4 linked regions of the Saccharomyces cerevisiae S288C genome follow. The gene in region 2 interacts genetically with the main gene of each other region. Each region holds a gene or a part of one and is shown on either strand. Other genes may lie near its edges.

Region 1 (7,437 bases), on a different chromosome or scaffold from region 2:
TTGTTCCCTGAAGACTTGAATATTCTTGGTAAAGTTGAAGTTGAATACAAAGTTTTGCCAGGTTGGGATCAAGATATTACCAAAATTACAAAGTATGAAGATTTGCCGGAAAACGCAAAGAAGTACTTAAAATATATTGAAGATTTTGTTGGCGTTCCTGTTGAATGGGTTGGTACCGGCCCCGCAAGAGAAAGCATGTTGCATAAAGAAATTAAATAGGGCGTTGGACATCCATGACAAACTTCAATTTAATTTCTTTTCACAGTTTTATAGTTTTATATATACGAAATGTAACTAATCATGACATTTTTTAAAAGTTTTCAATGAAAAAATGAAAGAGTAATGAACAAACATATTTTTTTTATAAAATGCATAAAAACATATAGATATATATATATTTACGTGGAAAAATGTTAAAACTATTGATAAGAAAAAACGCTCAAAACAAGTAGTAAGCAGGCTTTTTTTTTTTTTGCTGCTTGTTTTAGAGAACCTGTATATCAATTAGTAGTCTCAGTTGGTTTTTCAAACAAACAGTAATCAATGTAACGAACACCGTACACTTGATTCCATTGTTTTGGTAAAACTATTTGCATGATTCGGTTGATTGGCTCCGGTACGTAAAATGCTCTACCCAAAATCTTAGAATTTTCACCGTCGATGAATGCAGCACATGCCAGCTTATTCCAGTTATCCATCAGATGTAGAGGGTTGAAAACGTCTTTTGTTAAATTTATTGGGGCGACGATGTCAATAAAATAATCACATCTAGTGATCGGCCACTCTTTACCGGTATCATATATATTCTTGTTATTCATTCCCTTAGGTAAAGTTCTAATCTTTTTGAAAATAGAACCACTCTCTGGAAAATCACCTGGAAGAAGACCATCAAATCCAGATTTAACAAATTTTAGCCTATGATTATCTGGCAGCAGGAAAGAACTTGGGAAGTGATACCATTCACGTCCCGTACATACATTCACTACCGGTGCCTTCACACCACCTTGATTTAGTGAAGAAAATTGCTCGTAGACGGCTATAGGAGCTGTGTAATTGTTCACCAAAGCCACTATCCGTGACATTGCCTGGCCTGCAACAATTAATAAAACTGACAACTTTATACCTTTTTTAAGAATCGGCTTTCTATTGAATAGATTCAACACTTTGTAAAAGGCGATACTTGCACTCAAAGTTATTAACCCGTAAATTGGATAGAGAAATCTTTCCTCTTTGTGAGGTTGTTGAGTGAAAACGGCAATCCATGTGAATAATGATGCCCATAATGGCCATAATCTCAAATGGAAAATTCCCAAAATAGCTAAAACTAGCACAGGCAGTGGGAAATTCAGTAACAAATTTAGTGGATAGTAGTACCATGGCTCAACCCCGAAAATATTTGGGCCAGATTCCTCACTTGCATTAATGACATTGTAAAATAAGATGTTCCATGATACAGGAGCAAGCTTCCCGTAAAATATACTGTCAGTGACAATCACAGCAAATGCAGTCAATGAAAATATCAAACAGCAGTCGAATGCGGTTCTGATGGTAGAAATAATTCTATGGTTGAAAAGGTAATGTAAACATAATGGCAAGCTTAAAATTAAAACAAATGGCCAGCCTAGTATACTAGCCAGGAAATTGTACGCTAAACTTTTCGTAAAGTTAGAAGTAGACCCAGTGGACAGATAGCGTAGAGAGTGTCTGGTGGCACCTACATACAACAACATGGCAACGGCAGAAGGCAATAATTCCACAGATGCATGGAACCAGCCCGGATTAAACAATTGGAAAATAATCCAAATATTTGCGATTTGCAATGCCAAGCTGCCTGCAATTTCACGATGTAGTTTAAATTCCATGATAAAACTAAAAAAGCCTAAGCATGCTCTTGTGATGAAAAAGTTCCAATGACTTTCTAGGTCAGTAAATTTGTTTACTGGATAAAGAATACAGTAAAAAGGTAATAAGAAAGCCCATGATCTAATAGAATACTCGGGTGAATATTCCCAGGTTTGTTTACCAAATCCACGTACCAATAAATTTAATGGTTCCCAATAATTAAAAGTTTCATCGCAATCTGAAATTAACGAGAATGTCGGCTGAATATATACTCTTGTTAAAAATAACAACAGTAATAAACTAATGGTTACCGCCTTGCAATTCATCGTTCCCTTATAATTGTGCTTCAGGGTGAAAAAAGAGCCAATTCGATACAGCTAAAGTTTTGAAATCTCGTTGAGTAGCCGTAATGGTACAATAAAAACGAAAAAGTATTCTCTATTGTGTCAAAAACACCCCTGTATATCCAGTTGTCCCTTTTTCAAGCTTGTATTGACAGTTCTGAATATCGCAGAACGGTTCTCATCAAAATTCAATATTGCGTAACGGACTTATTGTTGCATTTTCAAGTAAATAAGCCGGGTCAGGATGCCCGCCGTAGATAGTAAAAAGTAGGTATAACATGCGCAAGAGCAAAACGGATTTGACAACATATCCAAGTGATAAGTGGTCGTTTAGATACATCATATACTATAACGGTTTGATATTGAGAGCCCAGTTAAAATTAACATCTGTTTTTTGTTTTTTAATTGACATTCAATCATCGGTTGCTTTCCTTGTGAAACTGTACGCGTTGTCTTAAACGAAACGTGTTTTAAGGTAGGTCATCGACAGGTAAAAAATAGCTTATTAGCAGAAGAACGCTAGCGGTAAGATCTGAAACAGGATCGCACAGTCTCAATGAGTAACAAGAGGACATCTGTAGAACAGCTCATATCATGCCCAATTTGCTCTAGAAAAGTCTTTTTTTCCTTAATCAACTCTCATCTTGACATATGTGGCAAGGAAAAGTCAAAGCCTTCGAGTAGGCCACAAACGGTGTCAAGTCTTTTGGCAGGCCCAAAAAAGAGGAAACAAGCTAACTCAGAGAAATTCATTGATCTTGAAAATAAGGACCATGAAATTAAGCCAGGTCTTAAGAGCGAGAGTGATGATATTGAGATTGTTGAAAATGAAAGCAAAAGATTTAAGGCAGCACCATCCACGGATTTTGCGAAATCAATAGTGGAGCCTGCTTCGAGCAGAGATCAACTTCACAACGATTACGAAAGCAGATGGTTGCAGAAAATAAGCCATTTGCCACTTAGTGAAAAATTGAGGCCAAAAGAATTAAGAGATTATGTAGGTCAGCAGCACATTCTCTCTCAAGATAATGGTACATTGTTCAAATACATAAAACAAGGGACTATACCATCTATGATACTCTGGGGCCCTCCAGGTGTAGGAAAGACTTCACTAGCTAGACTATTAACGAAAACTGCGACAACCAGTAGTAATGAATCAAATGTTGGTTCCAGGTACTTCATGATCGAAACAAGTGCGACAAAGGCAAATACGCAAGAATTGAGAGGTATATTTGAAAAATCAAAAAAGGAATATCAATTGACCAAAAGAAGAACTGTACTTTTTATTGATGAAATTCACAGATTCAATAAAGTTCAACAGGATTTGTTATTGCCACACGTAGAAAACGGTGACATTATTTTGATTGGTGCAACGACAGAAAATCCAAGTTTTCAGCTGAACAATGCTCTCATTAGCAGATGTCTGATTTTTGTCCTAGAAAAGCTGAATGTCAACGAACTGTGTATTGTTTTATCAAGAGGAATTGCATTATTGAATAAATGCAGGAAACAAGTATGGAATATTGAAAATCCTTTGAAATTGTCTAGAAGCATACTGGAGTACGTGGTAGATCTGTCGGTGGGTGATACAAGGAGGGCGTTAAATATGTTGGAAATGATCGAAGTTTCAACAAGAGAGCGCAAGGCCGACGAGGAAGAATTATCTATCGATGATGTACGAGACATAATTAAGAACAACAGCAGCAACGGGTTGAATACATACTATGACCCAAAGGGAGATAACCATTATGATACAATCTCTGCGTTTCATAAATCCATTAGAGGTGGGGACGAAAACGCCTCACTGTACTATTTAGCAAGAATGTTGCAGGGAGGAGAGGACCCATTGTATGTTGCCCGAAGAATGATTCGAATAGCTTCTGAAGATATCGGATTACGGGATAGTTCATTATTGCCCTTGGCTGTCGCGGCACATGACGCAGTAATGAAAGTTGGTTTGCCAGAGGCAGACCTTGCACTGGCGCAATGTTGTGTTGCTTTGGCTAGGGCACCAAAGTCAGTAGAACTATATAGAGCTTGGAAGAAATTAAGGGCAATGATGAGCGAGAACATGTACAGTTTAGCAAGCAGTGAGATACCGATGCATATCAGAAATGCGCCAACCAAATTGATGGAGGAGCTGGGTTATCATAAAGGCTACAAGTACAATCCCGATTATATTGAAGGAAAAGTCCAACAAGACTACTTTCCCAAAGAAGTGCTCGAGAAATGTCCAAATAAAACTGACTTAAAGTTCCTGGACGGCAAACATTTAGGAGACAAAGAAGATCCTGACTTGAGACAGTCATATCAGGGTTAGTCAAGGGTCTTCCATACTTCTCTCAATGCCGCGTCTACAATTCATATTTTTTTCTCTGTTGGCCAATGCCGCTTGTTTTTTTACGCTTGAGGCGCATTGCATTGCTGGCACGTTTTTGTGCAGCATGAACGATATAAACTATAATTTTAGATAATCAAGGATCCACCTTTTTTTTTCATGCTAGAAAAGTCTCGCGGGCCCATCTGAGATATATTAGAACATATACGCATCCTATAAGAAGAGCACATTATTCTTGAATTAGTTCTTCCTTTTCCTCGACCTTCCAGCTTGTAAAATGAGCCAGGCTTGAGGAGCATAGATACGCAAAAATGGAAGATAAGCGGAAAAGACGAGCCGCTACACTTAGTACAGCATTGATATTATTTGTGGCATGCTGCGTTTATACACTATATATATTCAAGTTTGATAACCCTCGGTTGTCTCCACCAGTTTCCTTATTGCCTACAATTAGCACCTTGAAGAAAATTGAGCATGTAACAGATTTAAATAAGGAGTACGTTTTTGTTGGTGACGTTCATGGTAACTATGATGAGTTCATAGAACTCATTGATGACAAGATTGGAGGACTAGGAGAAAATATAACAATGATATTGCTGGGTGACTTTATTCACAAGGGCCCGGACTCAGACAAGGTCGTGTCGTATATTCTAAATCACAAGGATCAAGTCAAGTGCGTTTTGGGCAATCATGAAATATTGGTCATGATGGCCTATTTAAACCCAGACTTCTCGAAATGGGTAAGACGCCCCAAATTAATGACACCTTTAACTTTCAGTACGGAGACTAATTTCATACCACAAGACATCTCTAAAATCAGCAACGCACATGGACGGTTAGCTCGCGAACTTGGGTTTTCCAAATTAAGTCAGCTAGCGGAACATTGTTCTATGGCCATAGAACTAGATCTGGATATTACCGGTGATATACTCTTTGGTGCACATGCAGGGATGGTTCCGGGAGACTTCATGAAGCCCAACCAAATTCCGGGCGTGAGCTCTCTGTCAAACATGAAGTACGTTGATAAGAAGAACTGGTCAAAAACATCACGTGAAAAGGAAAACAAGAATTATGTGAGATGGTACACACTGTGGGACAAATACGGAGACCACTTTAGTAACGCCAAAGTATTTTACGGGCACGATGCATCCATGGGACTAAACCTACGGAGACAGACCAAAGGTTTGGACACAGCATGTATAAAGAACAATCTGCTTTCATCTATGAAAGTGAAGTACGATATTAAGAAGGGGCAATATGACTATGAATTAATTCAAGTACAATGCTCTTAAAACAAAAAGTACTACTTAAAAGCGCAACAGATTTTATATAATGTACTATATGAAAAAGATATGAATATTATTATGTAACTCATAATACTGAATCTTAAATTTCAATGAAACTTTCGCTGGAGCTACAAGTATTCTTGCCCAATGGCCGCTACCCGCCTCTTCTTCGTTGTTGAAGTTTTAAAATTTAGCGAGAAAAGAAAACAAAACCGAAAACAGACAACCGCAATCATTTCTTCAACACCCAACATCCAGCACCTAAACACCATCAATACACGTTTTAAACAAAACAAACCCATAGCCCAAAAGGTAGTAAACACAAACCGTTGTATACGCAACCGCCCTACATAAGACACTATTTGCGTACAGATTATCTCAATATGTCTAGTCCAGATGATTTTGAAACTGCACCAGCAGAATATGTTGATGCATTGGATCCGAGTATGGTCGTTGTTGACAGTGGTTCTGCTGCAGTCACAGCGCCATCGGATTCAGCCGCTGAGGTAAAAGCTAATCAAAACGAAGAAAACACTGGTGCTACTGCTGCTGAAACTAGTGAGAAAGTGGATCAGACGGAGGTCGAAAAGAAAGATGATGATGATACCACTGAAGTCGGTGTAACAACTACCACGCCTTCCATTGCTGATACTGCTGCTACCGCTAACATTGCTTCGACATCAGGTGCATCTGTTACTGAACCTACTACTGATGACACCGCTGCTGATGAGAAAAAGGAACAAGTAAGTGGTCCTCCTCTGTCAAATATGAAATTCTATCTTAATCGCGACGCGGATGCGCATGACTCTTTAAATGATATTGATCAATTAGCGCGTCTGATTAGAGCAAACGGTGGTGAAGTGCTAGACTCCAAGCCAAGAGAATCAAAAGAGAATGTTTTCATCGTGTCACCCTATAATCATACCAATTTACCAACGGTAACTCCGACTTATATTAAGGCATGTTGTCAAAGCAACTCGCTACTGAACATGGAAAATTATTTAGTACCATACGATAACTTTAGAGAAGTTGTCGATAGTAGGTTGCAGGAGGAATCGCATTCTAATGGTGTAGATAATAGCAATAGCAATAGCGATAACAAGGATTCTATCAGGCCCAAAACAGAAATAATCTCTACGAATACTAATGGCGCTACGGAAGACTCAACCAGCGAAAAAGTTATGGTAGACGCTGAACAACAAGCTAGATTACAAGAGCAAGCTCAGCTCCTTCGTCAACATGTAAGCAGCACCGCATCAATCACAAGCGGAGGGCACAATGACTTGGTCCAGATCGAACAACCTCAAAAAGATACCTCCAATAATAATAATAGCAACGTCAACGACGAAGACAATGATCTTTTGACACAGGACAACAACCCTCAAACAGCAGATGAGGGGAATGCATCTTTTCAAGCACAAAGGTCCATGATTTCGAGAGGCGCTTTGCCCTCCCACAATAAAGCTTCTTTTACAGATGAGGAAGATGAGTTTATTTTGGATGTTGTGAGAAAAAATCCAACCAGGCGTACAACACATACTCTTTACGATGAAATATCCCATTATGTGCCTAACCACACGGGTAATTCTATTAGGCACCGATTTAGAGTCTATCTTTCCAAAAGACT
Region 2 (9,278 bases):
AAGCGGACTAGTAAATCGGCCATTGAACCTTTGATGAAGTCCACTTATGATCTCAACAGCGGCAATTACGTCATCATTTTTATTCAAAACATTTAGCAGACATTCTGTTACCGTCACTATTATCTCTGATAGGTACTTTTCCAAGGACGCCTCACTTAAATCTTTCAATAATGAAGATTCTGAACCTTTCACAAAACCCTTCTTTAGTTTTTTTATAAAGCCAGTGTTTCTCTTTATACTGGAATCCAGTTTTTTACTTTTCAGGGGAAAGACTTCTTCGCCATTCCAAGCTCGGGTGTTCAAATCATGCAATTCTTTTTTCCGTCCATCCTGTTGATACATAATTGTTACCGTAGTTTACAACGATCAATAAAAGAAGTTAGTATAAAACCTTAGAAGTACTGAAAGGCCGATCTGGCCACAGTAAGATAAATCAAACATACGTCCATAATTTCTGTCCAATGTATTATCAATGCAGATACAATATTAGATTATTTAAGCATTTAAGTTGATTGTTACTGTTCATTGTAAAGTAATATGGGCCTCATTAGTTTCTCAAACCTGTATTCGAATGCAGTTTTTCAGTGACTGCCAAGAAAGTGAAAAAAAAAAAAAGAAGCAGGCTCCATCAATTCGTATCAAGTGATAATTATCACATAAATTATATAATTGTAAACCTATTAATAACCCTAATATCATCCTCATGCCCTAAGAAATATTCAATATAACCCCCTAACAATATCATAATATCCCGTAGTGATCATAGAAACGCTATATGATGGTGCATAATTAAGATAAAGGTCATTCAGGCATGAAATAATGAACTTTAGTGAACGACTTAGTCATACAGAGTCTATTTTAGCTTAACCATTCGGTTTTATTTTACAGTCTAGACTCAAACGAGTGAAAAATTGCGATATCTGCGATGACCGAGTCCTGAACAATAAAAATTGACCAGCAGGGAAAGAAAAGGAAAAGATCTCAACTCTGGCGGTTGCCTCCAGGACCTGCACTAGAAAGGACTATTGAGTGTAGACTAAGTGGTGGACGGGATGGAGGCACTTATCGTATTTATAGTGCTTTCCGTATCCGGAGCATTTGCTTACAAATGCTCCTATGAAAGGCTCTGGTTTAAAGTAGGGTCTTTGTTTGACATTATATCAACTTCCTCGAAGAAAAATGTCATTCCGTTGGCAAGCAAAATGGAAGTTGGCTCGAATGAGGATGTGTCTAGTATGGGTAATTTCATAAATAAATTCTACACAGAGTATTCTTTACCCTCACATAAGGTACTGCAATCACTGCGAGTCCTTTTTTCATTAGCAATGATGACGTATACAGTAACCATAGAGATTATTCTATGGCAGATTAAGGTTGCTGGAATGGACAAGGAAGTTACTTTCATAACGACTTGGGTGTGGCCTCTGACTGCAATCATGCTATCCTTCATACTAATTTTATTTCAGCCCTTTTTCATTATAATATCGTTACTGAATAAATTCTACAATGACAAGTTCGATATCGATAGGTTGATAATAGTGACATGCATAATCTTGTCCACACTTATTGCGCTGTTAAGTTACATAAATATTGGACCGTTCCAGTACACAAAAAATATTCTAACTAGATTGTCCATCGGAGGCGTCACAGTCATGGCTTCCCTATCTGGGTTAGCCACTGTTTCTAGTTTATACTACAACTTTTTAGTCATCTGGCACAAGTTTCGTAATACACCAATGTCAGACCCCAGTTTTAGAAACATCAACAACAGCAACAATAACAGTAAATCTCTCTTATGGACAACAGACGCCTATATAGAGGAAAAAATCCAAGATTATGAACACAACATTGAACAAAATGTACAAATATTAAGAAGTTTAGAAGAAGAGGTCGGAGAAAACTCAACTTTTAAAGCAGAGTTGATGGAAAAAATCGCCTGGTATCAACTGGAGCTTGGGAAATTGGAAGCATTATTACAACAGTCCCCTCAGGTACGCACTTTTAAGAAAGCTTTTGAAGTCGGGTTTATCATATACTGTCTTCATAAACTAATAATAACTTTCCTGAAAAGAATCCCCTATATCATATACCACTCGCTCAAATATCCAGATGACTACGATTATGAAAATTTTAGTGAAAATGCAGCATCCGATCCTTTAGCCATTACGATAGCAAATATTTTGGATTTTTCGTTTTTCAGGTTCAATTACCAGCACGATCTCGATTCGTTAACAAAACAGATATCGTTATTTTTGTCAATTTCTCTCTTTCTTTGCTGTCTTTCTGCTGTCAATACCACCATCTCCTACGTTGTGACCCTTTTGCCCATAAAGTTCCAGATTCTTGCACTTTTCGCCATGCAGAATGATGACACTGCTAATGTACTTCCAGAGTACACCAATAACTCTTCCTATAAGGGAAAAAAGAGAAACTATTCTCAGGAACAAAAAGGAATATCTTTGATAAAAAATCTGGTGGTGTCAGAGTTGACTGGCGTCTACGTTTTGGCTACAACGCTAATGGTTAGGTCCCATCTCCCTTTTGAAGTATCACAAAGATTAAAGGAGCTATTGGGTGGAAAGTTTACCGTCCCAAACATTGTCATAGATTCTTGGTTTGATGAAGTCTACGCTTTTGCATGTGTGTTTACCTTTATTTGCATAAGAATTGCAGAACGAAAGCTTTCCACCAAAAAAGTCAGTGTTGAATAACTGGAGTAGTATGTCGATGTTCGATGTTTATGAGATATGTATTTATAAAATTAAATGTCTGTCGGGTAGTTTATGTAGGGATGAGAAAAGTAGTATAGGTTCATGAAGAAGTACAACTTTTTTTCATTTATGCAAGGGCGTAAAAATTATGGATGGTTACTACTAATGATCAAAGTAACATTAATGCAATAATCAACCAAGAAGAAGCAGAGGGGCATGAACATGTTATGAATACAAAAATTCACGTAAAATTTGATCGTCACTTAAATTTTCCTTGACAATCATATAAACACCTATTAATAGGTTTGGAAAACGCTTGGTGAAGTAATCGTAAAATCCATCGGGTACCGGCCCCATTAGTTCTGCTATATCTTCAGGTAAATCCATAAAATGATGATATTTATTCCTAAGTGCTCTTAATAGATCCATTAACTTTGATGAATGGTATTTTCTGTACCTTTCAAGGTTGTCCATGAATGTTTTATCAAACTTGACAGTCCAATCTCCACTGGGTATTACAAAGTCAGAACCGGCGTCAAATTTCATTAACAGGGCACTTGGAGGGTCTCTGTTTTCAATTTCAAGCCTATCACTAACTTTTAAAAGGAACTCCAATTTTTTCGACTTTGGCCAAAACAACGGATGCCTTAGAACTTTCATAGCAGTAGGTCTTTTTAACGGATCGTGATCAATCATTTGGGAGATCAGATCTGTAGCTTCTGCAATTAAGGATCTATCATGTAGACATTTCATTTCATCAAGACTGAATATTCCTCTTATGATATTGCTTTCACGTGAATATTTATCTCCAAATGGATGCTTCCCTTTGGATAGGATATAATAGAATACACATCCCATAGAAAAAATATCAATAGATCTTGTTAGCCTCCTCTTGGTGAACGGATCATAAAAAGAATCAGATGAAACTACTGTATGCCTACTAGAAGAGTGTTCCGTTTCGACTTGGCACTGCAAATTGTTTGATTCTTCAAGCAGCTCTGGGGCCCTCCAACCACTTGTGCCAGAAGGGTTATTCAAATTTGTTCTAAATGAAGACTGACCAGAGTCTAGTTTTTTGCAAAGACCAAAGTCTGATATCAAAATTCGAAGATTTTCTGCTCCTGTTTGCTGATCGGCAGTAAACCTACTCGAAGTAGAAACGAGAATATTTTGAGGCTTTAAATCTCGATGGATAATCTTTAAAGAATGTAAATGTGCTACCCCGGACGCTATTTGTCTCAATAACGAAATTGGATTATACTCTTTCTGTAATTTCAGGTTTTCATCTGATACATTCTTAGACTCCACCAAATCTTGAAGGTTCAAATTGCAGAGCTCTAAAGCAATATACAAAAATCTGTCTGTTGTTTCTGAACAGTAGTATCGTATGACGTTAGGGTGATCATCGCTTTCAGTCAAAAGTTTTATTTCCATTAAAGCTATGTCACAAAAATCAATTAACATTCTCTTTACCGCAACAGGTCTTCCTTGAAAACTTCCCTGAAAAACTACTGTTCCTGATGAACCGTAACCTAAAATTTTTTCGGATACTACCAAATTTTTTAAAGATTGCTCAAAGTTTGGTATATTTGCAATGCGTGATTTTCGGCCCTTTTTGCCTCCTCTCGAACCTCTTTTCCTCTTCTTCTTTTCTGTGGTTAAATCTAGTGATTTTTCATCATCTTCATCAGCATCATCGTTATCTTTTTCAGATTTTAGACTTCCATCGTTCACAGCACCTTCAAAAACAACTTGCTTCCCTGATTTCATATCGAATGGCTTGGTTACATTTTCCGATGAAGAGGGACAATTTAGCGATTTCGACTCAACTATGGGGATTTCCTTTTCAGGCATAAATCCAATTTTGGATAATAATACATATAGTGGCGGCAAAATTTTGAATCTTTGTAGTATTGCACAAAAAATGAGAAATAACAACAGAAATACTCCAGTCTCTATAATTCGATATACTAGACTTCCAAACTTCAGTAGCAAAGAATTTTGGTTCTTTTCATCTAATTCTCTCGATATTTGCTCGTGTATCTTTTTTCTATATGCCTCAAGGTCTTCTGGTGACATGTATTCCTTTAGTGAATTCATCTCGTTATTCTGATGTAAATCGGTTGTATCAACGGACGAATCAATCATCAGAGGTGGATATTTGTGCGTAGTGTCCAAACTATTCGTTTTTTCATAGTTTTCATAAAGGTGATCATATTCATTATTATATATCTGATGAACACCCATGATTGCGTTCTTGAATAAAGTCTCATCTTCAAAAATTGAAGACACCCTCCAACGGTCACTGGAAGCGTATCTTGATATGGGAGCTGATTCGACTAAAGATGGAAAATTCTGACTAGATAATGCAAACCAGGAGAGGTTCGAAGTCTGATCCAAGTAAACTTTGTTACTCGATATACTTTCATGATCACCAGGATTAAAGGGATGCGGTACCAGTATATTTTCATTGGTGCGGAGATCATTAAACACATCGAAAAGCCCAACAATAATTCCGGGGAATGTCGGAGAAACCCATCTAGCAATTCTAAAATCTAAATCGCTTGCTAGCAATGATTTATCACGGAAAGGCGCTATGCACATGCCGTCCTTTGAAAATGTATTCTGAAGCGCTAGGGGAACATCTAAAACATTTTGCTGCCATGTAGAGTAAGTGACATTGTAGCTTGCTCCATCATAAGAGTGAATTCCCAGCTCAAAAATAGTTTTGCCTATTACAATCATATTTTCACATTCCTGAAGTTTTATCTTCTCCTCAGGTGAGCAATCCACACTCTGGCTCCCGAAATACCCGTTTTTTGAACCAGGTCCGAACGCTGATATAATTTCACCATTCAACATGTTTATAGTATACATTATAGTTCTCATCGATCCAGTGTAGACCTTTTCATCTTCAACAATTTTTCCAGAGTCATTAACCACAATATTTGTTTTCAAGTGCAGCGGGGAAGTTGATACAAGTTGTCGTATGGATAAAGGCAGTTTTTGTAACCCTTGATGGGCGTTAAAGTAGTAAATGTTCCCATCACCGAAAGGTTCTATAATCAACGTTTCATATGTTTCTAACCTCGAAGGTTCTTGTATTTCTATCAGAGGTTGAAAATTTTCTGGTTCGATTGACCATATGATATGACCATTTCTTCTATCTACAGCATGAAGTCCACCCTCAACGTCGGCTGCGATTAGTATATCTGATAAACTCAGTTCGTTCAAGGAACGATTCTCCAAATAGGGTACACTTATAGAATTGGCAGCCCTACGTCCTTTTTTGTTAGCACGTCGATTATCAGCAGTATTCAATAAGTTAGGAGTTGGATATGAGCTGAGTTTCATATTTGGTAAACCTTCAGTGGTTCTTGGAGCAGGAATGGGCGAGTTTATATTTTTATCCACACCATAGTTGAAATTGAGCTTTTTAGTGGAGGCAACTTCATCTTCCACTATCTGCCGCCTTGAGGTGCGAGACGACAATGGGATTGAGCATGAAATGATGGATGAAAACACACAAACGAGCAGTGTCAATACTAACATGTTTCTTCGAAGTAGACGCATTTTTCAAAGTGCTAAAATATTAATTCCTCAGATATGCTGTTTTTTTAATGTGTATGAAGGGTGATATGGAGAAAAGTGATAATGGACGTGGGGAAGAGGAAAACGATGCTTTGTGAATGAGAAAAAAAAGTTACTTAGCAGATTACCGATTATTAACAGTGCCAGTTATAGTGTAGATTTAATTGTGTAAAATTAATATTGTTATAGACTTTTCACTGTTAGTTTATGTGAAGTTGGCTCATTGATCTCCTATGATATGTTTTTCGTTTATTTCTTGTTACTATGTGATTAATCTCTTTTTTTAAATTTTATTGTTGGAATAGTCGAAGGTATTGCCCGAAGAGGCTTACGCTCCGTCTTGATTTTCGGCAATAAAATAGCGAAAACCTATTATATAACAGAGGGTAATAAAACCTCAAAACTACAACTATCAATATATTTCACACTACGCAGCTTAATTAGTAACTGTATAATAGCATTTAAGTTCATTACTTCTTTGTAATTTTATCTTTTTTTTTTTTTATATAGTTTTCAGCGCGCAGCAGAGTTTCATTGGAACGCTTCGCACGTTGGAAGAATAGAACTGTCCCTAAAAGCCCATTAGTCCTTCATTGAATAACCGATCTCTTCAAAAACATCCTTAATTTTGCATTGCTTTTCATCAGCAATTATTTGGGCCAACCTTAAACCGGCATCTCTCAATTCGTTGTACTCCTTTAACTCTTTAATGTACGTCGAGGAAATTTTTTTTGGTGTCTCATCACTTTGACAAGTTCTGTTAATAACAGAAACTAAATATTTTTTGTTTGTTATACCGATTTTTGCCGACTGGAAAAAATAGCTACATACTTTTTCTTTTCTTTAGACAATTGCTCAAACATCTTTATCAGGTTGCCATTCATACTTTCGTATTCCTGTATCTGTTTTTGCTTTTTATTTAACTGTGTTTCCAAATAGTTCATACTTGCAAGTTGTCTTCTGTTTATGGCAAGGATAAGACCATTGCTTTTAATTTAAAATTATTCTTATACTCTGTCTTTGCATTTATGAAGCAGAAATAGAATAGCCGCCATTAGGCAGAACAATTCCGTCTGATGTGATAATGCAAAGTGTGCCTGTCATCTAACTTAAAAGGAATCAGGCCAACCGCTACAGGATATGTACTAGATACAATTACTAAATAATACAAACAGAATATATAAAATGCTATTAAGATAGATCATTTGCGTCCCTCTCAATGTTGTCCAACATAGTTTTCATATGATTTAGTTGCATTTCTGTTATTTTGATACTTTCTGATAATTGCTGCAATTTGTGTTCGTCATCGTTTCTCAACATAGCACGACCTCGAGGTGATATTGCACTCCCTCTGTTACTGATCCAATCCCAAATATCGCTTTCCCTTCCTACAATAGGACTCTTATCCCTTGCGTAATTTACATTTTCTCTCTTCTTCTTAGATGATATGGCGTTTTCATATGAGTTATACAGTGTGCCGAAACTGGGCACGTAATTATATTCTTGACCATCAATCAGCAGCCTTCCTGGCTTGATGATTTGAAGATTATTTTTTTCTTGAAACACGTGAAGCCGAGGAGACCAGAAAAGCATAATGGTCAACCCCAAGATCAAGAATAGTTTTTGAGGACTCAGCAATTTGTTCATAAAAATTTCTGAACTAAAATTATTCTGAACGAAATCCAAAATATGAGTTAAAATGTCTTTATTATCATCGCTCTTACGGCTTTCGGAACTTTTCTGTTCAACCTTACTATGGAAAGGCCTATGTTTATCATGACTCTTCATTACTTTCTTCACCGGTTTTTTGCTTTTTGCCCTGCTAATAATGTCTCTTAACTCGGATAGCATGTAATCGACAGAAACCTTCTGACCCTCAACAGATCCTTTCTCAATTGCACCTTTCAAAAATGATTTACTTGTCCAGTTGATTTTTGTTATAACGGTCATATTCGTGGTGTCATGCTGCCCCCAGAATAGAAAGATTTTACTTTCTACTGCAAAATTGCTACCAGAGGGGACGTCTGGAGTTTTAGTTGTTTGTGTCACCAAAACATAGTTATTGATATCCATGTGTTCAATAGACTCGGTTAGTAAACATTTTGTTTGCTTAGGTCCGATAGAATTGTTCAATTTCTTCGTGTACTCATAGTGTCTTGAACCTCCTTCAACCAACGAAGGCGTGAATTTTGGTATCGTTTCCACATTGACATTATTCTTATCTCTAGTGATAACTTTCTGCATATACTCTGTATTCGATCCAAATAGCAATTGGACCACGGTCCCTAATGGAGCTGGTATATTCTCATTTTCCCTTATAATAGAGTCATCCTTATCCTTTTGAATATCAGGCTCGGTAGGTGCATGTGAGCTAGGTTCCATTTTCGGTAAAGTTGATACTGTAACAGTGTTCTCCTTCGAAGACCTTTTCCTTTTGGTAGCAGATCTTGTTAAAATATTACCAAGCTCCTCCACCAATATCTTTGTTGCATCCGTTACACCATCAAATGTACCCTTTTCAATAGGACTTTTGATCAAGCTTTTACCTGTCCATTCAACAGAGACATACAGTTTTAGTTTTGTTTCATTGTTGTTTGCCCATGATAAAAGATAAACTGTTCTCACATAAAATGAATTTCCAGAAGGAACATCCGGAGTTTTTGTTGTTTGCAAGACTTGAACATACTCCTCTAAGTTAAAGTGTTGAATGGTTTCAGTTATCATGCATTTAGTTTTACCGGGTCCAATGGCACCTGGTGTTGTTTTTACGTAGGAATAATCTCTCTTTTTACCTTCAGAAACCGTGGGTGAATCAACGAGAACAGGGATTGGCGAAATATCACTATTCTTTTGCGCTTTTAAAATGGCCATAATATAACTGACATCTTTCCCGAATAATATATTGACAACCCGCCCTAACGAAGCGTGTATTGTTGATTCGTTAACTAATTTTTCATTGGGCGCTGGTTTGTATAC
Region 3 (6,344 bases), on a different chromosome or scaffold from region 2:
ATGTTTGAATCTTTTAGTTATGATGGTAACCCCTTTCTTTTTATTTTACTGTTGATCCCTCGGATAATCAATAGGTTATCTGCCACAATATTCACGTTCTTTTGCACTCTATTGTCCCTGCATTCGATAAGTGGTGGCGGTAATTCAGGAAAACCCAAGATCTCCAAGGTTCCAAAGGCACCAACCAGAGAAACCCATATCCCACTTGCAGAAATACTGGGTGACACGAAGGACAAGGATGCATTTTGCGAACTAAAAAGCTTTAAACCAGACATTTCCTTCAATGAGGCCTTGCGTATTGCAAAAGAAGAGTTTAAGTTTATGTTGCTCATCCTAGTGGGCGACACCTACGATACCGATACTGATACCGTAGATGTTAATTCTAAACTACTATTGGAAAAGATTTTGTTAAACAAGAAGACTTTACAGTACTTGCGCAAGATTGATAACGACCTGATTATCTATTTGAAATGCGTACACGAGTTGGAACCTTGGCTGGTTGCTCGCCAACTAGGTGTCAGAAACACCCCGGAGATATTCCTCATTGCCAACGTGGCTAATAAGGCTTCCCATTCAGAAACTTTGCCCTCACAAAGACTCTCCATTCTCGGCAAGCTAAAGGTCAATTCACTGAACAGATTCTTGCAGTCGTTAACAAACGTGGTGGAAAAGTACACTCCAGAATTAGTTGTTAATAAAACTGAAATGCACGAGCTACGCATGTCAAGAGAAATAAAAAAACTGCAGGAGGATGCGTACAAAAAGTCGCTAGAAATGGACAGAATCAAAGCTATAGAAAAGGAAAAGAGCTTGAAACACGCTCAGGATTTGAAATTAAACTCAACTGCTCGGCAATTAAAATGGTTAAAGGCTTGCATCGATGAGATACAGCCGTTCGAGACAACGGGGAAGCAAGCTACTCTGCAATTTAGGACTTCTAGTGGCAAAAGATTCGTCAAGAAGTTCCCCTCCATGACTACACTTTACCAAATCTACCAATCCATTGGGTGTCACATATACCTCGCGGTATATTCTAGTGACCCCGCAGAATGGTCTAACGCCCTCCAGGACAAAATCAGGCAATTATCTGCAGACGACGATATGCTCTGCTTTAAAGAAGGACAACTCGAAACTGCTACTGCTACCACTATCGAAGAGCTCGGCCACATCATCAACAACGAGCTTACCTCATTTGATCTCGAACGTGGTAAACTTGAATTCGACTTTGAATTGGTATCGCCCTTCCCTAAGTATACTGTGCATCCTAACGAGCACATGTCGGTGGACCAAGTGCCCCAGCTATGGCCAAATGGCAGTCTTCTAGTGGAAGCACTGGATGAAGAAGATGAAGAAGATGAGGAAAATGAAGAACAATGATAAAATAGCATATCGTTAAAAACGACAAACGCGTACAAAGAGTTTCTGGAGTTTACTTTTTTTTCATTTTTCGTTTTTACTCTTTCGTCTCCCTAATGATTTTGGCCAACCGTTGGTTGTTACGTGTTATATGTTTGTTTTAGGAGCTGGGGCCTACCTTTATAGTTAGTTGTATAACTCAGTTGATCTCATAAGTGAAAAGCAAAAAAAGGATGCAGGTGTTACAGTTATGGTTGACAACTTTGATCTCTTTGGTGGTGGCAGTGCAGGGATTACATTTCGACATTGCAGCATCTACAGATCCAGAACAGGTTTGTATTCGTGATTTTGTCACTGAAGGTCAATTGGTTGTCGCGGATATTCACTCAGATGGTTCTGTTGGTGATGGACAGAAACTAAACCTCTTCGTGCGTGATTCAGTTGGAAACGAGTATCGTAGAAAGAGGGACTTTGCAGGCGACGTTCGTGTTGCGTTTACTGCTCCATCCTCCACGGCATTCGACGTTTGTTTTGAAAATCAGGCTCAGTATCGTGGCCGTTCTTTAAGCAGGGCCATTGAATTGGACATTGAGAGTGGTGCTGAAGCTCGTGACTGGAACAAGATCAGTGCCAACGAAAAATTGAAACCTATAGAAGTGGAGTTGCGTAGAGTGGAGGAAATTACCGACGAAATTGTCGACGAATTGACTTACTTGAAAAACAGAGAGGAGAGATTAAGAGACACCAATGAATCTACCAACAGAAGGGTAAGAAATTTCTCAATTTTGGTTATTATTGTCTTGTCCTCGCTGGGTGTTTGGCAAGTCAACTATTTGAAGAACTACTTCAAAACGAAACATATCATTTAAGCAAAGGAAGAGGACCACACCATGCATTTGTGTATCAGCTTACCCTATAATTGCATATGTACTCGACTATTTTCTACATATATATGAATAGATTCCAGAACCGAATAAAGGAGAAAAAATATTTGAATATGGATTTGTTCGCTTCACATCTTTAAGTAACCTAGTTTTCCCAATACGCAACCAAAGTCCAAGTATGTCATGAAAAGCCTCTTGCCATCAGTAGCACAACTAATCATTTCAATGGTCCCAGAACTTTGGTCAGCCCCGATGAGATTGGAGATTTTTTGAAGGTCTTTTACGCTTAATACATGATCTCTTAAGGCCACTTGCGGGAAATCCACGTCTCTGCCACAGTTTCTAATAAGCATCGACCATAAATCATCTATTACTGTTAAATTATTCATCAGTATCAGTAACTGGCATGTGCATCGTACCAGTTTCGTGAAATCTATTACGTCAGTTCCTTCTATAATGACGTCTTCATTTCTCACCAGTTTCCAAATTGTGGGCTCTAGTTGCAAATCCTTGAAGAACCTTGGTAGTTCATTAACGGTCATATCATGGTCCAGACTGGATTCCGCATATTTTTCCAGAATTTCATCTTCAACTTCGATAGGTACTTTCGGGTTCTCGAATAGCTCTACTCTTTCATAACTAACGTTAGTGGATTTGCTCATTGAAAAAAAACTCGGAAGGTATTTAGGTGACCTTGCGGCTTCTTAATGCTGACACCTGCATGCGTAATTGTTATTATATATATATATGATAGTATATTTCATACTTGTTCCTTCTAAAGGTGACCCGCCTGATATGCGACATAGAAAAAAATTTGGATGAACATGTTCAAAGATTGGTAGCATTGACAAGAACCATTCATACAAGTAGGTAACAGCAGAAGGAAAGAGGAACGGGTGTTGTGATAATTATGAGTGACAACTCGGACACAAACGTGAGCATGCAGGACCATGATCAACAATTTGCTGATCCCGTAGTGGTTCCGCAGTCAACTGACACTAAAGATGAAAATACTAGTGACAAAGATACTGTTGATAGTGGCAATGTGACCACAACGGAAAGTACAGAACGTGCAGAAAGTACAAGCAATATTCCCCCTTTAGATGGGGAAGAAAAAGAAGCAAAATCTGAGCCACAGCAACCTGAGGATAATGCAGAAACGGCGGCCACAGAGCAGGTTTCATCTAGTAACGGGCCTGCTACAGATGATGCCCAAGCAACTTTGAATACGGATTCATCCGAAGCAAATGAAATTGTCAAGAAGGAAGAGGGCTCTGATGAAAGGAAGAGACCTCGCGAAGAGGACACCAAAAACAGTGATGGTGATACCAAAGATGAGGGCGATAACAAAGATGAAGACGATGATGAAGACGACGATGACGATGATGATGATGAGGACGATGACGATGAAGCCCCAACTAAAAGGCGTCGTCAGGAGAGGAACAGATTCTTGGATATTGAAGCTGAGGTTAGTGATGATGAAGATGAAGATGAAGATGAAGAGGATTCAGAGTTGGTTCGTGAAGGTTTCATTACCCATGGTGATGATGAAGATGACGAAGCAAGTGCTCCAGGCGCAAGAAGAGACGATAGATTACATAGACAACTGGACCAAGATTTGAACAAGACTTCAGAAGAAGACGCTCAAAGGTTAGCGAAAGAATTAAGGGAGCGTTACGGTAGAAGCAGCTCCAAGCAATACCGTGCTGCTGCTCAAGATGGTTACGTGCCCCAGAGGTTTCTCCTACCAAGTGTTGATACAGCTACCATTTGGGGTGTGCGCTGCAGACCAGGTAAAGAAAAGGAATTGATTCGTAAGTTATTAAAAAAAAAATTCAATTTGGATAGGGCGATGGGTAAGAAAAAACTGAAAATTTTATCCATTTTCCAAAGGGATAATTACACAGGAAGAATCTATATCGAAGCCCCTAAGCAATCCGTTATTGAAAAATTTTGTAATGGTGTTCCAGATATTTATATTTCTCAAAAATTGCTAATTCCTGTCCAAGAATTACCTCTATTACTAAAACCAAACAAATCTGATGATGTTGCTTTGGAAGAAGGTAGCTACGTTCGTATTAAGAGAGGGATCTATAAGGGTGACTTAGCTATGGTCGACCAAATTAGTGAGAATAATTTAGAAGTTATGCTGAAAATTGTTCCTCGTCTGGATTATGGTAAATTCGACGAAATTGATCCAACAACACAGCAACGTAAATCCAGAAGACCAACTTTTGCTCATAGAGCACCACCGCAATTATTTAATCCAACAATGGCTCTAAGATTAGACCAAGCTAACCTGTACAAAAGGGATGATCGCCACTTTACTTATAAGAATGAAGATTATATCGATGGTTATCTGTATAAGTCCTTCAGAATTCAACATGTGGAAACCAAAAATATTCAGCCAACTGTGGAGGAATTGGCAAGATTCGGTTCCAAAGAGGGCGCGGTAGATCTAACATCAGTTTCACAATCAATCAAGAAGGCTCAAGCTGCAAAGGTCACTTTCCAGCCAGGTGATCGTATCGAAGTTCTAAATGGTGAACAACGTGGTTCCAAGGGTATTGTAACAAGAACCACGAAAGATATTGCTACTATCAAACTAAATGGCTTTACAACGCCTCTAGAATTTCCTATCTCTACTCTGAGGAAAATTTTCGAACCTGGTGATCACGTTACTGTCATCAATGGTGAACATCAAGGTGATGCTGGTTTAGTTCTTATGGTAGAGCAAGGTCAAGTGACATTTATGTCAACTCAAACAAGCAGAGAAGTTACCATTACAGCAAATAATCTGTCCAAATCCATCGACACTACAGCTACATCAAGTGAATATGCGCTACATGACATAGTCGAATTGAGTGCTAAAAATGTTGCTTGTATTATTCAAGCTGGCCACGATATCTTCAAGGTTATTGATGAAACTGGTAAAGTGTCGACAATTACGAAGGGGTCTATCTTGAGTAAAATAAATACTGCTCGTGCACGCGTTTCTAGTGTCGATGCAAATGGTAATGAAATCAAAATTGGTGATACCATAGTAGAGAAAGTAGGTTCACGCAGAGAAGGTCAGGTCCTGTACATACAAACACAACAAATTTTTGTTGTTTCAAAGAAGATTGTTGAAAATGCAGGGGTTTTTGTTGTTAACCCTAGTAACGTTGAGGCCGTGGCATCCAAGGACAATATGTTAAGTAACAAAATGGATCTAAGTAAAATGAATCCAGAAATCATTTCTAAAATGGGACCTCCATCATCTAAGACATTCCAACAACCCATCCAGTCCAGAGGAGGTCGTGAAGTTGCACTCGGCAAAACAGTAAGAATTCGTTCTGCTGGTTACAAGGGTCAATTAGGTATTGTGAAAGATGTGAATGGTGATAAAGCTACTGTCGAATTACACTCGAAGAACAAACACATTACAATTGACAAGCATAAGTTAACATATTACAACCGTGAGGGAGGTGAAGGTATCACGTATGATGAATTGGTTAATAGACGTGGTAGAGTTCCACAGGCCAGAATGGGCCCAAGTTACGTCAGTGCCCCAAGAAACATGGCCACTGGCGGTATTGCAGCAGGTGCTGCGGCTACCTCTTCTGGTCTTAGCGGTGGTATGACACCAGGATGGAGCTCCTTCGATGGTGGCAAAACACCAGCTGTAAATGCGCATGGAGGCTCAGGTGGTGGCGGTGTCTCCTCATGGGGTGGTGCTTCCACTTGGGGTGGCCAAGGTAATGGAGGTGCATCCGCTTGGGGCGGTGCTGGCGGCGGTGCCTCAGCTTGGGGCGGCCAAGGTACTGGTGCTACTTCTACTTGGGGTGGTGCTTCAGCCTGGGGTAACAAATCAAGTTGGGGCGGTGCATCCACTTGGGCGTCGGGTGGTGAATCTAATGGTGCCATGTCTACTTGGGGTGGTACCGGTGATAGGTCAGCCTACGGCGGGGCTTCCACCTGGGGAGGAAATAACAATAATAAAAGTACAAGAGATGGCGGAGCTTCTGCATGGGGTAACCAAGACGATGGAAATAGGTCTGCTTGGAACAACCAAGGAAATAAGTCAAACTATGGTGGTAACAGTACATGGGGAGGTCATTAATC
Region 4 (8,288 bases), on a different chromosome or scaffold from region 2:
AGGATTTATGGGGACGTAAACAACTTTACCACCGCAAAGTTCGATATTTGGAATATATTGGTCAAAGAAAGGTTCAAAAACAATAACCTCGTCGCCAGCGTTCAAAAGCCCCATCAAGCAAGAAAGTATACCTTCATTGGCACCTGTTGTTACGGTAACATTTTCCGCTTTCAATTCTGTGTTATAAATAGGAGAATACAACTTAATCAAGGAATTAATTAATGAAGGTCGACCTCTAGTTGGAGAATATTGATTGACCATTGGAATGTCTAGGGCTTTCTGAGCCTCCTTAATGGCGAATTGAGGAGGGGAATATGAAAAAAAGCCTTGGCCTAAATTAATAAGTTCACGGCCTTGGTTTTTGGAGTTATTGGCAGCTTTTGCAGCGGCTTCATTGGTTAGCGACCAAACATCTTTGGCAGTGTTAGAAGTGAAATATTTGTTGGCAACAACTTTCGGTCTCGAAGTAGACATTAGGTTCGTAAATTGACGAATGAATCGTTGTTTCATTGAGAGCAAGTAACAATGGATTCTATACGCAATTATAGTAAATTGAACACTTTATATATATCTCTATCGTACCTTCCCCTTTTAAACATGACTGAATTTTGGTATCTTGATTGTCATAATGACAACAAAAAAGCCACAGTTCTACGTCACGTGCTAGACACGACATGCTACTGAAGAAATTGTTATCAAATGAAAAGATACATTTATGTAATAACCACTACCAGGCACTTGCTAAAAAGAATCTACGTAAGAACTACATAAAGGTTAGCTTGTGCGCCAGAAAGTGATATCAAAGTTTTATGAACGCTGAACAATTTTGAGCCAGTAATTATCTTGGCATAGGAGACGATAAATGCCATCGTTCTTTTAAAGAGCTTATTAAGTTATTAACTCTCTTCGATTAGACATTCTCTTATCAAACGAGTTACGTTACATTTAGGAATAATGCGACAAAGATGGAGGTCTTGATTCCTAAATCCTACTCAAAACAATCTGCTCTACTGTCAAAATCCTTGCTCCGTAAATTGATTTCGTTGTCAGACGCTCACCGTACAAGAAGTTTGTGGGTATTTACATCGTAAGAAAAGTGCAACCAGATTCAATATTGAATTACCTGAGCGGTGTCTTCCTATATTAAAATGACGATTTTGTTTTTCTTTGTATTGTGAGGGTAGCAGATTCGTCTTCTGCACTTTTCATCTACTATTGCAAAGCCTAATACAAATACAGTTGTTGAATATAAAAATTCGAAATCAGCCTTCCATTCTCGAAAGTGAACAAGGAAACTCACTGGATAAAAATTCACACGAAAAGAAAAAACCGAAAAAAAGTAACTGTGTTGCTTGCAGAGGGTTTGATTACTCATAACCGAGAGACACGATCTGTAGCGGTGATATGAACGTATTCCTCACCTTCTTCTAACCCTTTGGAATAATAGTTTCCATCACTCTTTACAAAAGTAGCATTACTCACCAAATAAGGTCATAAAAAAGACTTTTATTTTGTATACATGTAAATTTTGGCAGCGGTTAGTGAGGTAAAAGAGATACGAATGAATATACGATACAATGATACAGCATACTGAAAAATCATCCTAACGATTTGGTGCACAGAAGGCTTTATATATTGACCAATTCATATATAATGTCCTCTTGCTACATGATATTATACCATTGCCCAGTTGTTTCTTAGCGTACATATATGATAGCAGACTATGCAAGTCGCTTACTCATTGAGTTTTAGTAGTAAATTCCTGAGAAACTTGTAACAATTCTTCATTGCATTCTTTAATTATCTTTGAATCTATTTCAAGCATTTTGCGTAGCTCATCCCATTCGTTTTGGCTCTTTTTATCGACTTTGATAGTTTCTGCCTCGATACGAGTTAGTTCACTCTTCAAGTACGATAAATCTTGTTGAAGGGATTTTTGAGAGTGAACAAAGCTGTTGAATTGCAATATTTGGTTTCGTATCTCTTTGAACCATTTCATCTCACCATGGCTTATTTTCTTTTCTTTAAATTTATTGGATTCGGCGATTTGAGATAGCTTCTTGCTCAATTTACTAAATCTCTCCATTAATTCTGACTGTCTGCTTAGTTGTGCATCCCATTTCTTATTTTGTGCTTCGAATTTTCTCCTTAAATCATCATCCTTTGAAATTATTTTGCATGTCGATTGTAGTTGGCGCGTCAATTCGAACTGTTGCTCATGAATTCTATTGTGGATAGAAACACCCAAAGTTTGAGCTTTAACAATTCTTTGCAAAAATTCTTTGGAAATATCCGTGAAAATTTCCAACTGATTTTCACTAGCTTCGTTTTTTAAAGGTATCTGGCGGTCTGCTGATGGGATAATTCGTTCACATGGACTAATACAGGCTTTTTGAAAATTATCGTTCAAAATAAGAATCTCATTTATGGGCTGTGTGAAACTCATTTTAAAACCATCTCCTACCGTGTCACTTTTTTCTGTACTGATACTTGTTTCAGCTGCGGTGCTTTGCGGTTTCATATCGCTTGAAATATTTTGAAAAGTCAATGTTTTATTCGACATCAAGGCTAAATTAGATTGGTCATTCCAGTTGATATACGCTAGGTTTGGAATTCTTTCTATGGTGGCAATATCCTCAAGTTTACTTTCAAATTTCAATCCTGCAAGTGGATTCAAATCCGATTCGTTGATACATTTACTCAATGTAGAAGCCCAGCTCATAAAATTTACTTGTTGTATAATATTATCGGAAATGACATAAAGTTTTCCCAACTGTTCAGGTAACGTTATTAGAGACTTAATTTCTCTTTGTAGTTTGACTCGTTCAATTAGAACCAAAGAATTATTATACACGTAATTGTCAACATCCCACGACATTGACATTTCCAAATCTTTGAAGAGTAAGATTAAAGACCCATCATCAAAACTGACACAAACAATTTCATTTTGCCCATTATCAATTAGTATGGTTGCAATATTTGTAGCAGTATAGTCATACAGCTCGCCGGGAAAGGGGTTTATCGTGAATGGTCCTTGAACCTTGGCTAAACGATATTCCTTTTGTATGTCGACTTTGCCAAATCTTGAATTCCAATTTTCATGCAGTTTTGACACAAACTGTAACTGCTTAATAACATTCCTTTTAACTATAACATCTGTTGTAGAATCCAGGGACTCGTACATTACTAAAGATTTGTTTAGGATCAAGTTGAGATCTTTCTCATTTAACAGTAATACTGACGGTAAAAATGGATAAAATGCAAAGATATCACCGCCTTCTGTGGTGTTTAGACAATATAACGTCAATCCGTCCTTACTGAATTCTAAATCTGTGATGTCGTTAACACGTGCATCTAAACCAAAGGAGTTGTTCGGTTTGTTCAAAACGATAGGCTTTTCTTGCGAATTAAGGATGTCAAACATCGTGATAGTGTCATCCTCTTTCAAAACCACTATACAAGAATCACGATAACTCTTTGGATGAAACAAAACTTTCTTAATGGACGATTTCGGACCAACTTCTTCTTCATCAATTGAATAGTGGAAAATTTGGAATGCATCTTGAATGGAAACGTCTTCAACGTTGGAATAGCCCCAAGGAACTTCCATTACAAAAATCTCGTTGTCATTGAAAAGACAGAGTAGGTCACCAGACGTACTAGATATTACATGGAAGGTATCATCCAAGACGAGATGACGACTAAAGTTCAAACTGTGGTAAAGTGAATCAGTGAGTACATTGTACCACCTTATTATGTTATCTTGAATGAAAACAATCCTTGTGCCATTCTGAGAACTAAAAATGTAACGTGGAGATTGGCTTGCCGAAAGCGATGCTTGGAAAATAGGAAGTGCACTTAACCTACTAGATTGGGACATACTTTGGAGTATAGAATTAAGCCACCACTCAATTATCGCTGTCCTTTTGTTGCTTAAATATTAAATGCAATTAGAATATTTGAAAGTATTCAACTTTTTTATTGAAGTTAATTTTTCATTTTTGCTGCCGCGAAAAGAGAGAAGGTCGATAGTAGATTTTTTTTTTTTCACTTGTCTCAGTATGAATCTATAAACTATCATATATGTATACATATTTAGACCACGTGAACAATTCTATGTTAATCAAGAGCGCAAAGGAGGGCCAATTCAGGTAACCAGCCATTCAGCAATCCCATCACAAAATTCCACCCAAGAAAATAACATAATTTTGGACTGAAAACGGACCAAATAAAGAGATGAAATCTCAAAACGACGCATGCCGTCATCAAACAAGTTCCAAATATACAATGATAGGTGAAGGCAGGTAACTTACTTCTGATGAACGTTTGCAACTTAACTTGTGCTGGAATAGAGGCGTAGTTTATTGACCACGGTAGCATGGACCAGTATATTGCCGGCGCGAAATTGGCAACGGACATTAATATCCCCACTACGTAGATGTTGTAGTCTGAGGAAACACCATGGTATGCGTTTCCAAGGTCTATAGTAGAAATGGAATTTGTGCCACCGAATTGGAAAAATGTAAAATTTTGTAAAATTAAGGACACCAAATTCGAAAAATAAATCTTACTTGTTGATGTTAATGAGGCGGTTGGAATATTTTGGAAAAAGTAAAAAATTTGGGACTCTAATATTTGGAAAACGAGAAATTGACCTATGTTCTGAGAAGAAGTTTGGAACATCAAAAGAATTGTTATATAAACTTTCATATCTTTAATGAGGTAGTTCTTGTTAAGTACTTTCAATTTCGTCAGGACCAACCTTGAAATGACAACAATAGCCCAAGCTTGGAAGAAAACGCGCGCAAGTACAATCAAGTTACTTTCAGTTGGTGCAAAGTCTATCTTAGCCAGTAAATCATGCATAAAGAGCGGTATTTCTGCCTGGTTACCATTGACGATTTCCCACGAGATTTTGTACGTGAAACACAACCCCACCAAAATAGTAGTGACAATAAAATGTAGTACTTGAAAACCAGCAGATGCCATTATCAGCACTAGAAATGTCAACATATTTAAGCACCACTTCCAGGAAGGATTCTGATTAAGTAGATTGGACATAACGTTAGAATAAATGAATTTCTGGCCACTGTTATTCCAAAACTTGATTGAGCGTACGCATGCCATCATTATAAACCAGCGCACGATTATGAGCACATTCAATCGGTATACGAACAGAGGGACCGCCGAGAATGCAGTTACTATCCACCACCACAGTTGGTGCTCCTCTTCAATGAAACTACTTGCAAATGTGGAAACGCCTAGTATAATGGAAACTAACAGAACAGACAGGGAAGAAACGCGCAACTGCCAAAAATCAGGCCCAGAATAACGTAATAATACATAAATGGCGATGATTGTTATTATGAGGAAACCAACAAAAGCCAGTGTCAAAAGAGGATAATTATAATTTGTTGCAGACTTGGTTAACGTTTCTTGAATAGTGTACATCTTTGTATAAATATCTTCGGCAGTGAAATCGTCAAGAGCAACCTCGCCGTGATGGTCTGATAATTTCCACAAATGCATAAAATTTTCTTTCATACTTGCCAACTTATTGGGCAACAGTTGTAAAAAGTCAGGTATTATTATCCCAACACTGTTCATGGGGATTGGCATACCAAACAGTGCTGCTATGGTGGGGACGATATCAATTTGTTGAACAGTCTCTAAATACTGGAAATTCCAGTCCGGACTAGCGTTGATGGGCAATGTGTAGTTTACTTGCGATTCTGGCCTAGCAAATTGCGCCAGCTTAGGTGACAAAAACAACAATCCTGCTGATGTTTCGCCGGCTGAAGAGCCACCATGGTTGCCCAGTTCGTTCATTCCATGGTCGCCAAGAACACAAATCAGTGTATCATCGTCATCTTCATGTTCCAACACTTCATCATATATTGACTTCAGAATGCTGTCCATTTCTTGATGTTTAGCAGCCATAAACTTTGAATGCGGGCCATCTTTATGCCCGATATGGTCAAGACCCAAGTAATGCAGGATAGCCACGTCCCACTGGGCCCATTCCTGAAATAATTTCCCGGGCAAGTTCCTCGTCACATTATTATCGACTTGAGTGAAATCACTGACAAAGAACGAGTGTGTCGGGTCAGCGAAGTCAAACCATTGCTGTGGGAACAGTTTCAGCCAGGTGTCATCGCCCATGAAACGAATCGTGTTATTATGTTGGATGAACTGCTGCAGCCAGGAATCGTGCTCCGAAAGATCGTTGGAATCTATGTCCTGGGCTACATTCAGCAGCAAGTCAATGAAGCTAGGTGTAGATCCCGTAGTAATACTTTTGAGTCTAGGCAGCGTCACGGTAGGCGGATTAGCAAATGACGTGTAACCCCATGCTTCGCCCGTATTGAGCCATTGGTGCACGTTGTTGAAGTGGGAAATCTGCGAATCAAAAAGAAAGTCTGATCTGAGAGCATCAATGATCACAAACACCAATTTCTGGAAGGGCCTATCGCGCTGGAGATCACGGTCTTGATCCGGATCTTGCTTTGATATACCTGTCAGCACGATTTTTCTAGGGAAAAAAGCAAAGATAAAGAGCAGAATAGCGAGTAATTGAGCGCATGATAGGCACGTGAACTGCTTCAAGTTCATCTTGCTAACTTGGTGAAGTGTGCGTGGTAGATGAACTTATTTCGATATTGTTTATACTTTAACATTTTCCTTTTTTTTCCCAAACTGAGTTTTTCATCATATTCTTAAACTAAAGAGCTGGCTGTTAGAGTAGGACAAAGAGTATAAACAAACAGAATGTATGTATATATCCGTATAAGCATATCTATATATATATATATATACATATACGCAAGTAGGTAAACTATTTACAAAAGAGGAGAGAAGAACAGCGCAAAGCCTATTGATGGAAGACCACAGCGTACCTCCACATTAACGGTCTTTTCATGCCTTCTTCTTGGCTTCGTACTCCTTTTTGAGAGCCTCGAGCTCCTGCGGATCGATGGGTGGAATGGGCACGTCTGCAAAGTCGTTGTCCTTGTGCAGAAAATGATATGTGTAGTAGTAAACAGAGCCCGTGACACCCAGCAGCAGCGTGAGACCGAGCATATTGCCTTTGAAAAAGGGTTTACGGGCCCTGATCATGGCAGGCGTCATCTTCCACGTGCGGGTGTCTTGGTACTTGGACGGATTCAAAACCATACTACTTTGTCGTCTATATATGTGCTTTCGTTGCTGCTCACGTAGTATTGTTGCTTATGCCACCATAGTAAAGACTCCCTTTATACAATGAGCAAAAATCACTGCTTTGTCTGTCACCGCGTACGAGGCGGGAAAAGTTGGTTAACAAGAACAAGTGGGATTTGACAAGCTAAAACAGCTTATAACGGTCAAGAGATTTGGCTACGCCAAGGAGAAAAAACGGTGAGAAGCACAGTCGAGCGCAACAATGACAGTGGGTATTGCTAGGAAACTCTCTAGGGACAAGGCGCATAGGGATGCGCTGCTAAAAAACCTTGCGTGCCAGTTGTTTCAGCATGAATCTATAGTGTCAACGCATGCCAAATGTAAAGAGGCTTCCAGGGTCGCAGAGCGGATCATTACCTGGACAAAGAGGGCAATAACGACAAGTAATAGTGTTGCACAGGCGGAATTAAAGTCCCAAATTCAGAGCCAATTGTTTTTAGCAGGAGACAACAGAAAGTTGATGAAGCGGTTGTTCAGCGAGATCGCACCGCGGTACTTGGAAAGGCCCGGTGGGTACACGCGTGTGCTGCGGTTAGAGCCTAGGGCTAACGACTCAGCGCCGCAATCCGTCTTGGAACTAGTCGACTCTCCCGTGATGTCCGAATCGCATACGGTGAACAGGGGCAATTTAAAGATGTGGCTGTTAGTCAAGTCAGTCATCAACGATGACGCCAACCAGCTACCTCATAACCCACTCACATTGCAGAATCTTCACAAAGTGGCCAAGTTTAAAGCAGAAGCGCAGCTACATGGTGAAATTATGCTCATCAAGCAGGTCTTACTCAAGGAAATGTCCCTTCCCTATGATGAGGCACTCGAAAACGAAAGGACGCAGGCACTTTTGAAGGAGGTCTACTCTTCGTCATTGCCAAAGAAGACGAAGAAACCCTCCTCCTATGTCATGGTTCCCAGACCTTAAAAAAACCAGGATTTTGTGTATTCCCTTGTAAATATATAGATGACAATTGAAAGAACAGCGCTAACAATGTGCGTATTCTAATATAGTGTTTTTTTTTTTTTCCAACTAGAGAAAAAAATGAAAAATGTAAGAGAAACAAAACAGAAGAAAC

Evidence for each region.
Region 1: mutations in IRE1 (region 2) and ALG9 together harm fitness more than expected from each alone (negative genetic interaction), as found in Saccharomyces cerevisiae (6 studies listed by BioGRID, with this or other methods).
Region 3: mutations in IRE1 (region 2) and ERV25 together harm fitness more than expected from each alone (negative genetic interaction), as found in Saccharomyces cerevisiae (5 studies listed by BioGRID, with this or other methods).
Region 4: mutations in IRE1 (region 2) and LAS21 together harm fitness more than expected from each alone (negative genetic interaction), as found in Saccharomyces cerevisiae (5 studies listed by BioGRID, with this or other methods).

Annotation. Positions count from the first base shown.
Region 1 is NC_001146.8:235,496-242,932, forward strand, and holds ALG9 (dolichyl-P-Man:Man(6)GlcNAc(2)-PP-dolichol alpha-1,2-mannosyltransferase), read right to left. Parts: upstream 2,169-7,437; coding exon 501-2,168; downstream 1-500. Other genes in the region: ADE12 (adenylosuccinate synthase), read left to right, coding at 1-219; ssDNA-dependent ATPase MGS1, read left to right, coding at 2,743-4,506; PPN2 (putative serine/threonine-protein phosphatase), read left to right, coding at 4,836-5,816; DNA-binding transcription factor RAP1, read left to right, coding at 6,194-7,437. UniProt on the Saccharomyces cerevisiae protein: Mannosyltransferase that operates in the biosynthetic pathway of dolichol-linked oligosaccharides, the glycan precursors employed in protein asparagine (N)-glycosylation.
Region 2 is NC_001140.6:255,308-264,585, forward strand, and holds IRE1 (bifunctional endoribonuclease/protein kinase IRE1), read right to left. Parts: upstream 6,285-9,278; coding exon 2,937-6,284; downstream 1-2,936. Other genes in the region: NMD2 (Nmd2p), read right to left, coding at 1-330, 444-449; YHR078W (uncharacterized protein), read left to right, coding at 1,053-2,711; SAE3 (Sae3p), read right to left, coding at 6,885-7,047, 7,134-7,246; LAM4 (Lam4p), read right to left, coding at 7,494-9,278. UniProt on the Saccharomyces cerevisiae protein: Senses unfolded proteins in the lumen of the endoplasmic reticulum via its N-terminal domain which leads to enzyme auto-activation.
Region 3 is NC_001145.3:244,527-250,870, forward strand, and holds ERV25 (Erv25p), read left to right. Parts: upstream 1-1,589; coding exon 1,590-2,225; downstream 2,226-6,344. Other genes in the region: UBX2 (Ubx2p), read left to right, coding at 1-1,377; RAD33 (Rad33p), read right to left, coding at 2,369-2,902; transcription elongation factor SPT5, read left to right, coding at 3,151-6,342.
Region 4 is NC_001142.9:315,608-323,895, reverse strand, and holds LAS21 (mannose-ethanolamine phosphotransferase LAS21), read right to left. Parts: upstream 6,613-8,288; coding exon 4,120-6,612; downstream 1-4,119. Other genes in the region: BNA3 (kynurenine--oxoglutarate transaminase), read right to left, coding at 1-510; linker nucleoporin NUP82, read right to left, coding at 1,739-3,880; COA3 (Coa3p), read right to left, coding at 6,916-7,173; mitochondrial 54S ribosomal protein bL17m MRPL8, read left to right, coding at 7,421-8,137. UniProt on the Saccharomyces cerevisiae protein: Ethanolamine phosphate transferase involved in glycosylphosphatidylinositol-anchor biosynthesis. Transfers ethanolamine phosphate to the GPI second mannose.